2 linked regions of the Oryzias latipes genome follow. The protein of the gene in region 1 interacts with the protein of each later gene in a pairwise test. Links are inferred from orthologs where the notes say so. Each region holds a gene or a part of one and is shown on either strand. Other genes may lie near its edges.

Region 1 (4,308 bases):
TACAATAAGCAGGACACAAGCTCCCTGCTCTGCGCTATTGCAATGCATCTACTTGCAGACGAATACATCCATTGACTTTTACTTTTTTTCTCGTCTGAGATGGAATCTGGCAAGAGACGGTACGGCTGAATAGCTCCAATATTGCTCGCCATTTTTGTTGCACCGCTAGCGTTAGCTTGGGGTTGTAAGTTAGTGGGAGAAGTGTAACCACACCCAACACCGAGCAAACTTCTAATGAACCACTGCCACTCTGCAGAAACTATGTCCTAGAAACGGACACAGAATTTTTTTTTTTAATTATTTTGCCCCAAAACAGTATAATGATAATTAAAAAAACACTGGAAATTTTTTTTTAAATAGATTAAAAATGACTGGAGTGGGACTTTAAAGCTTGAATGCTGACAAACACATGATACTATGAGCAAAAAAGGCAAAGGTCGCCTTTTAATTAAACCTTGTCTATGTAACAGAATTAACATCTAGTTTCAAGACTTTGACTTTTGTTCAAGTTAACCCATAGCTGTGTTCAGCTTCAAAACTATAGTGGGGGTAAAAAAGCAGTTTCTTCCTCAAGATCAGGATGTTTCAGCAAAATATAAAATCACCATGAGAAAAAAGTTATTCTGATTTAGTTCAAATTCAGAACTCAAATGAAAAACAAAACCCAAAAGAAATTGCCAACAATATTTAAATAATCGGAAAGTGGCGTGAGATTCTGGCAAAGCCTCCCCATGGCGCGGTGGCAGTTGTATTTGTGAATGTAGCATTACTGGCATTGTTCCAACACTTCTACGGCTGTACAGTAATCCCCCGCCCATTCGCGGTTTAATATTCGCGCCCCGCCCATTCGCGGGTGGCCACAGATGACGTGACGTCAGAAGCATGAGGCACAGAACAGCGCTCAGTCCGCAAATTTTGAAAAACGATTTACTCTGTACTTTACTGTAAAGTATTGTTTACGCGTTTAAGATGCCATCCAAACACCCTGCATCATCTCCAGCTTCTGGAAATGAACCCAAACGGCAGAAAAAGGTTCTGACTCTGCAGAGGCTCTGGCTCTGGGAGTTTTAAAACAGCGTCAATCATTCGCGGATTTTTGTTATTCGCAGGGGGTGAGGAACGTAACCCCCGCGAATACGGGGGGATTACTGTATAGCAAAAAAACTGATTGGATTTCTTTGGAACCGGAAGCAAGTAATTTGCTCTAAGTAACATCACACTTCCTATACAGTCAATGGTTTGGAAACAAAGGGGGCTTTCGGAAAGCTGAAGCCCTGGAAATCACAGCCGTTTTACACGGCCATGCCCACAAGCCTGGCCCACTATCCCCCATGTACGGAGCGTTACATCATTGGCACAGACACCCACCTTCCCGAGTGATGACGCAGCCCATGGAGGAGAAGCAGGAGGAGGAGGAATGTGAGAGGGTGGGGGTGAGGAGAGGGTGTCCCGTCTGCGCGCAGCTCAGTCAGACAGCAGAGAGCAGCTGCAGCAGAAGGCTCGTGTTAAGTTTCACTGCATTGCGATTTCAAATATCGATTATTTTACCCACATAAGCCACCCGAATAAGCTTGACTAGGCAACCAAATATCATAGAAGAAAATGGTTGATCGCGAGCAGCTGGTGCAGAAAGCCAGGCTGGCTGAACAGGCTGAGCGGTATGATGACATGGCAGCTGCTATGAAGTCGGTAAGTCACTTTCCAGAGAGGATGAAAATCGTGTGAGTGATGGTGAGTCTGCTGCGTCTGCGTAAAAACGCGCCACGGCTGTAAATCTGCGCGCACGCTGGCTCAATTTTACCGGCGCACTGATCCAAAAAATTCGAATTTAATCATAATTTGCTCCACAGTTGAGGCAATGTTGACACCTCACGTCCTCTTTTTTTTGGAAAATTATTTTTCATTTTTTACTCAGCAGTCGGGTCCAGACTTTCCGGTGTTTGGGCGGTGCCTCTGTCGGTTGTACATTTTATTGAAAGGGTATTAGAATGAAATGCATGCAAGCCCCACTATGCATCATCTGCCGCTCATCATATAATGGCCTTGCTCACTTCCATTAACTGCCCCCCCCCCCCCCTCTTGTAGTACCCCACCTCCTCTCCCTCCATTATGTTGAATTCATACAGTTGGAGCCTCTGCTACATCATGTGAGCTGCCTCCACCCCCATCCCCCATTCTCTTATACTTATCACTTAAATTATAACGATAATAATTACCCACAACTGCTCATGTTGATACAAGGCTTAAGGGCATTATCTGAGCATGATCACCTCAGGAAAAAGCCTCTCTAATCCTTCATTTCATCAAATAGGAGGCAGCACTAGAATATCTGCTGTCATATTGCAGAGACTTATTTCTATCCCAGACGTTTTAGACTCTCGTCTGTGCTCGTGTCCGTCCTGAGTGTGTCAGGGCTGAAATCCAGGGGCGATTTAAAGTTATTTCAGGGGGACGACCCTGATTGAGCAGTGCAATATATGATGGGAAGAGGATGACATGGCTGGCTTGCCACACATTAGCTCTCTCAGCTCTTATTGGCTGCTCAGGACTAAGTCTTTGTCTGCTTTTTCTTCCTCTTTCCCCCTCCCTCTCTCCTTTGGGGCCCTTAAGAAATTTTGACACCGGATGCACCGGTGGGCATTAAGAACTGCTGTGTCACACCAGCTCACAGTGAAACCAGCAGCATCCAGACTTGCCAGTCCATGCCCAGATAAAGAGCCCGGCACGGGAGGAACATTGTGTCTTAATGCCCCTGTAGAACATCAGAGCCTATTTGGATCGTTTGCCATGAAGGGTTTCTGGTTGCAGGTGGTGAGGAGGGATTCCTTTGCCTTTCTTGATTCTTTTGAAGAAGAGGTGGGATGGGGTGGCGGTGAGGGGTGCCCTTTTATTCGAAGGGAATCCCTTGCCACTGCATCCACAAATGACAAATGAGAGGCTGTCACCTTCGTGTTCCTCATGAAAAATGCAACGCTGCTCTTCGTGGTTATCAATTAAAGAAATGGCCTTCACAAATCAGCTTCGACCAGCAGCGTGAAACCAGAAAAATCAATCCAATTGTTAAAAAAAAAAAATTTTTTCTTGACACCAGCAAATATTTCCTTCGTCATTCAAATAACGGATGGGCCACTCTTAATGACCTTGTTGTAACCCTTCAATAATGACAATTGAACGCCAAAATGTTTGATGTACGCCGAGCATAGCTGCAGTTCCAGCAGTGATCGCTGCAATCATTAAATTTTAAGTGCTCCTCTGTTCGTGCGCTCTACAAAAATTATTATCAGATCAATATGAATCTGCTTCATTTCATAGCGAAAGCCTCACAGTTGTCGCCTGCGGTCAAATCGGATCATTGCGTGTGCATTTTTGGACAGGCCCTGTGAAGGCAATTCCATCTGTGCCAATTTAGTGACGTCACGTGTGCCATCTTTACGCCCCTCTGACTGAACAGAGAAAAATTGAAAGCGTTGGTATAGTACAGCTGAATATCAGTGTGTCTTTCCTGCATATGTAACAGCCGTTTTTGAAAACTCCATCGATCTATGCCAGCACAGAGCGCCTCTTCCAATCATTTACCCAGAGTGGTATGACCTCTGTGCAGTCATACTGATCCATCCAGATCCAAAATTATCTGTCCGAGTCAGAGTGATGTCACATCACGGAGCTTAAAACAGGTAAAAAGGTCACTTAGAGCCGAAGAGAAGGTCAGTGGGACACGTGCAGTGACAGTTTTCATTTACACTGCAGCTGCCCTTGAGTCCTTGTGGGAACATTTCTGTCTCCATCCTTCTCGTGCCCCCCCCTCACTGGAGCAATCTAAGTACAATATAATTTCTCACTAGCTAGCATTAGATGTACACGTGGCAGCTGGAGCTACTGATGTCTAAATGAATGGATTGCCATGGAAACTAGGAATTGGACAAGCCCAATCTCACTCATTCGCGTCACTGCAGACGACACTGACCGAATGATAGAAGGATGGATCCTTTCTCCGGATGAGCCAAACTAATTGTCATTGTGCAATGATTCCATTGTTTTCTTTCATTGCTTTACAAATGTAGTTTGTGGGCCTCAGGAGAAATTCTTTAAGTGCATCCCTATAGAGTGATTTGCCGTCATTGCAATCAGACTGGAAGGGGAAGATGAGTTAGCTGTTTTATAACAGATTGTTCTTAGCAAATTTATTTCAACAGTTTTTAAAAGATAGAAAAAAGCCTTCCCTTTTTTAATATTTCGTGAAAGATTTATTTTCTTAGTCAAAATTCTATTGCATGAATTATAGCCTTTTGCGCCTTCCTTCTTCCAGGT
Region 2 (3,650 bases), on another chromosome or scaffold:
ATTTTCTTTATACATGTCCTCCACCGTGAGAACAATTGCCACAAGAACACGTTAAAAACACCAAAAACATCATTTCCATTGGAGTGGGTCTTAAGCAATCCACAAGTTGTGACCGGCTAAGAAAGTTAGAAATGAATGTCTATAAGGGAGCAGTTCTCTGCCTAAACCAGAGCTCCGTTGGCTCCATCATCTCTACATTTGAGGCATTGAATGTGAATGCATTTTCTTGTGCCAGCTCACACACAAGCCCTCTGTTTGCGCTGTTGTGCGCGCTCGTGAAGGGTGCCTGCCACTGGCGGTTAAACGTATTCTTTTTCCATTTCTATGGTACTATGATGTTCCTCTCCTCAGTCCATGGTTCCTGTTTCCGTGGAGGTGCAGAGGTTGGATGAGTCGCCATTTTCTGTCAGCTGACGGCTGCAGATTTTACACGCATTGCCCAATATTGGAGAAGCACAGACTAGTGACCTTTTAAAAGTGCTTTCCTTGACTTGGGAAATATGTTTTTGTAAACGTCGAGGCTGCAATGTGGATCTTGCAACACTGGATTCAATGAAGTTGTTTCTAGTTTGGTGTGTTTTGTAGAATTGACGATCTTTGCAGTTTTCTTTGTCGTCGTGAGCTGGATAAGGATGTTGCATTCACTGACCCTTGGACTTCTTTTATTGAGTTATTGCTTCTTAGAACCAAAACTACATTGAAGTTTCCAGCAGGTTGTTGCTCTGGGTCATTTTTTTATGTGCTATAATCCTTGTTAATGTAACAAAATTTGGTGTTAAATGAAAACAATCTGTTGTCAAATGTTAACCTTCAGATGGGCGATGTTCTGGATATGAATGACTTTCAGTTGCAGCTTTTTTCAGCAGCCGTTTGGAGTTATTCATCACACTTGTTAAATAAAGCTGAGGCATGCAGAGGTTATGGACTATGCATAATTCTACATCTTGTAGATACATTTTTTTATTCACTCGAGTTCTTTTCTGCATTTCGTCAACATGCTAGCATTTTTGGGGATCCCCTTCCTCTGCAGTTGTGTTGGCTCAGAGGCTGCTGTCCTCAGCTGCGGCTGGAAGTCACAGATCCTCCCACCCTGCGGTAAACATGTCCCTATAAATAGAGCTGAGGGAGAAACAAGCCAGCGGCAGAACGACAGGCATCCACACTACAAGCTCCAGCACAAAAACACACACCCACCCTCCCAACCCAACATCCCAAGATCTGACCCTGTGGCTCCTGCTCCCACTCGGGGCCCCCAGTCAGGTTCATCCAATCCGTCATCACCGAGAGCAGCAGTCAGAAGGTGCTTTTTCCTCACGGCCCGGTTTGTGCCTCTGTGGACGGCATCTGTTCCTGTGCATTGCTGCGTGTGCTATTCACAGAAGTAAAGGTCAGGCTGGGAAGAAGCGTTCTGCTCGAATACTTTAAATTCTTGTGTGTAAATACTTGGGAGACGGGAGGTAGTATTCTGATTATTTTAGCTCATGAAAGACATGTGACTCCTCGTTACAGCTGTGAAACATGACACCCCCCTTTTAGAAAAGTTTTTTAAATCTAACTTAAACACATAAGTTAGCTAGTAAGAGCAAATATTTTCTGGCTACTTGTTGTTAAATGTTTTTTTTTTTTTTATGTGCAATTGAAGATCCAATATGAGGAACAGGTCCAAGCAATTGACTTTTCTTCAGCTTGATCTCCAATGCTTGGTGATTTTAGCACAATTTTGCAAAGACAAAAGAGGGTTTTTTGGGAAAACATCTATTGCTGCTCTTATTTTGTCTTATTTTAGCAGCAAAGTAAAATTAGAATCGGAGTCTAATCAGTTTTAAAGCATCTCATCAGCATTGCCCTTTATAATCAGCGGCTTAAGAGAATTTTTGACCCTGTGGTCCATCAGCTGACTCGCTCGGATTCTCTGTGTTCCTCCTCCAGTGTGATTTGCCATGACGACTGAATCAGGCTCGGAGTCCAAGCAGCCGCAGGAGAACAGGGAGGCGGAGAAATCTAAAGCGGCGGAGGAGCAGACCTCACCACAGAACCAGCCCGAGAAGTTCCCCGCCGCCGCCGGACACAGCACGCCGGCCAAGAGAGAACAGGTCAGCGCGCAGAGCTTTCCACGGCGGTTCTGACACAATGGCCTCCAAATCACGCCGTTCCCCATCTTTCTGTAGCATTTACATGGTAGAGAAATGAAGAATGTGTTTTGGCTGCTTTGTTGACCCAATTAACTTTGATTAACTTTTTTCTAAATGCATACTGTCTTTTTTGAAAGACCTCATTAGTAGTTCTTCATGAGGTCCTTCTGAATGTCATAACTCTTTGTCTTACGGTCAGTGCTCTTTGCTTTTAGCATCAGAATAAGGAAAGGACATTGACTGCAGCTCCGCAGTGTCACACCGCCACTATGTTCATTTAACGCATTTTCTGTGAAGAAATCTTGCGATCATGCAGATGTCCATTGAGGGTTTCGGGTCTTTAGTTACAAGTGCTATAACTGCAGAGAGCGTCCGTGCCTGAATGAACCAGCAGAATAGCTCTATATTAGATGATGTGGGGGACGTGACCATGGAAGCAAAAGAACATCTGCAGCAGGGCGTAACACTCGATCCTCCTGGTGAATGTGAAGAACAAACGTCTGAAGCCTCTTTTTCAGGTTAAAGCCGGTCAGGGTCGGCTTTGTTTTCACTGAGGTGGAAAATTAGATTTTTCGCTTAAAGACATAATGGTGCTGAACTTCTGATCTCATCTGCTTGGTTGGATTCAGTTTTACTTGGGTAGGAATGTGAGGAAACTGGTGTTTCTTCTGAAAGAAAGTGACGGGCGAGGGCTGCAGGTGAGGGTACTGCAGAGCTGTTTAAAACCCTTTCAGTCTCCAAAAAAGAATCATCACAGTGGGGTTATAAGTAAAGGGTTAATGATGTTTTCTGCTTTCAGGAGCAGCAGAGAGAGGATCAGGTGTCCCACAGGTCGTCCTCCAGTCGTCTGTCCAAGTCTCCTTTGAGGGGAGTCCGTAAAGTGAAGATAATGCAGTGTAAAGTGGCCCTGCTGGACGGCTCCGACTACACAGTGGATGTGGAGGTGACTTCTGGCTCTTCAATAAAAACAAATCCCTCATAGAGCCATAGATGTTTAAAAAACCGTTTCTGCATCATCCTGTTTTGTTCTGATTCTAGCATATAAAACCAGTCCTAACACAAAAATCTGAATCCTCTTCTTCCTCTGTGGGACCTGAAGGCAATCTGCAGCGAACAGAGCGTTCTTCTTTGGCTCAAACTGGTGGTCTGGAGTCTTTTCTGGAAACAGATGCAATTAAAGTCCCTCTCCAATCCTCTGCTGATCTATTTTCAAAAATATTGTCGTTTTCTAGGACATAATTTCTGCAGAGCGGCATTAGTTCATCAGAAATTCCCCTCTGATTTGTGGTTGGCGACATAAACCAGAGGAAGTAAGCCTCTGCTTATTTCCTATCATCCCTTTGTTTGCAGTCTCTTCTGCTACTTTACAGCCCCTCACAACTGCAAGCTAACTTCACTGAACAGAAATGGCAGCAGTACCAGACCTATCCAGCCGAACATTTTAGTATGGCGTTTCATATCTGCCATAAAGTGAAAGGGCATGAAGACAAATGAATGGGCGTATTCAGGATTTGAGTG

The links.
Region 2: the proteins of ywhag (region 1) and epb41l3 interact in binary tests that used the Homo sapiens proteins (3 or more experiments, as listed by UniProt). The link is inferred for Oryzias latipes from reciprocal best matches to the Homo sapiens genes YWHAG and EPB41L3.

What each region holds. Positions count from the first base shown.
Region 1 is NC_019871.2:9,989,339-9,993,646, reverse strand, and holds the start of ywhag (14-3-3 protein gamma), read left to right. Parts: upstream 1-1,445; 5' UTR 1,446-1,602; coding exon 1,603-1,689; intron 1,690-4,306; coding exon 4,307-4,308. UniProt on the Homo sapiens protein: Adapter protein implicated in the regulation of a large spectrum of both general and specialized signaling pathways. Binds to a large number of partners, usually by recognition of a phosphoserine or phosphothreonine motif.
Region 2 is NC_019875.2:4,944,757-4,948,406, reverse strand, and holds part of epb41l3 (band 4.1-like protein 3), read left to right. Parts: intron 1-1,929; 5' UTR 1,930-1,940; coding exon 1,941-2,093; intron 2,094-2,931; coding exon 2,932-3,075; intron 3,076-3,650. UniProt on the Homo sapiens protein: Tumor suppressor that inhibits cell proliferation and promotes apoptosis. Modulates the activity of protein arginine N-methyltransferases, including PRMT3 and PRMT5.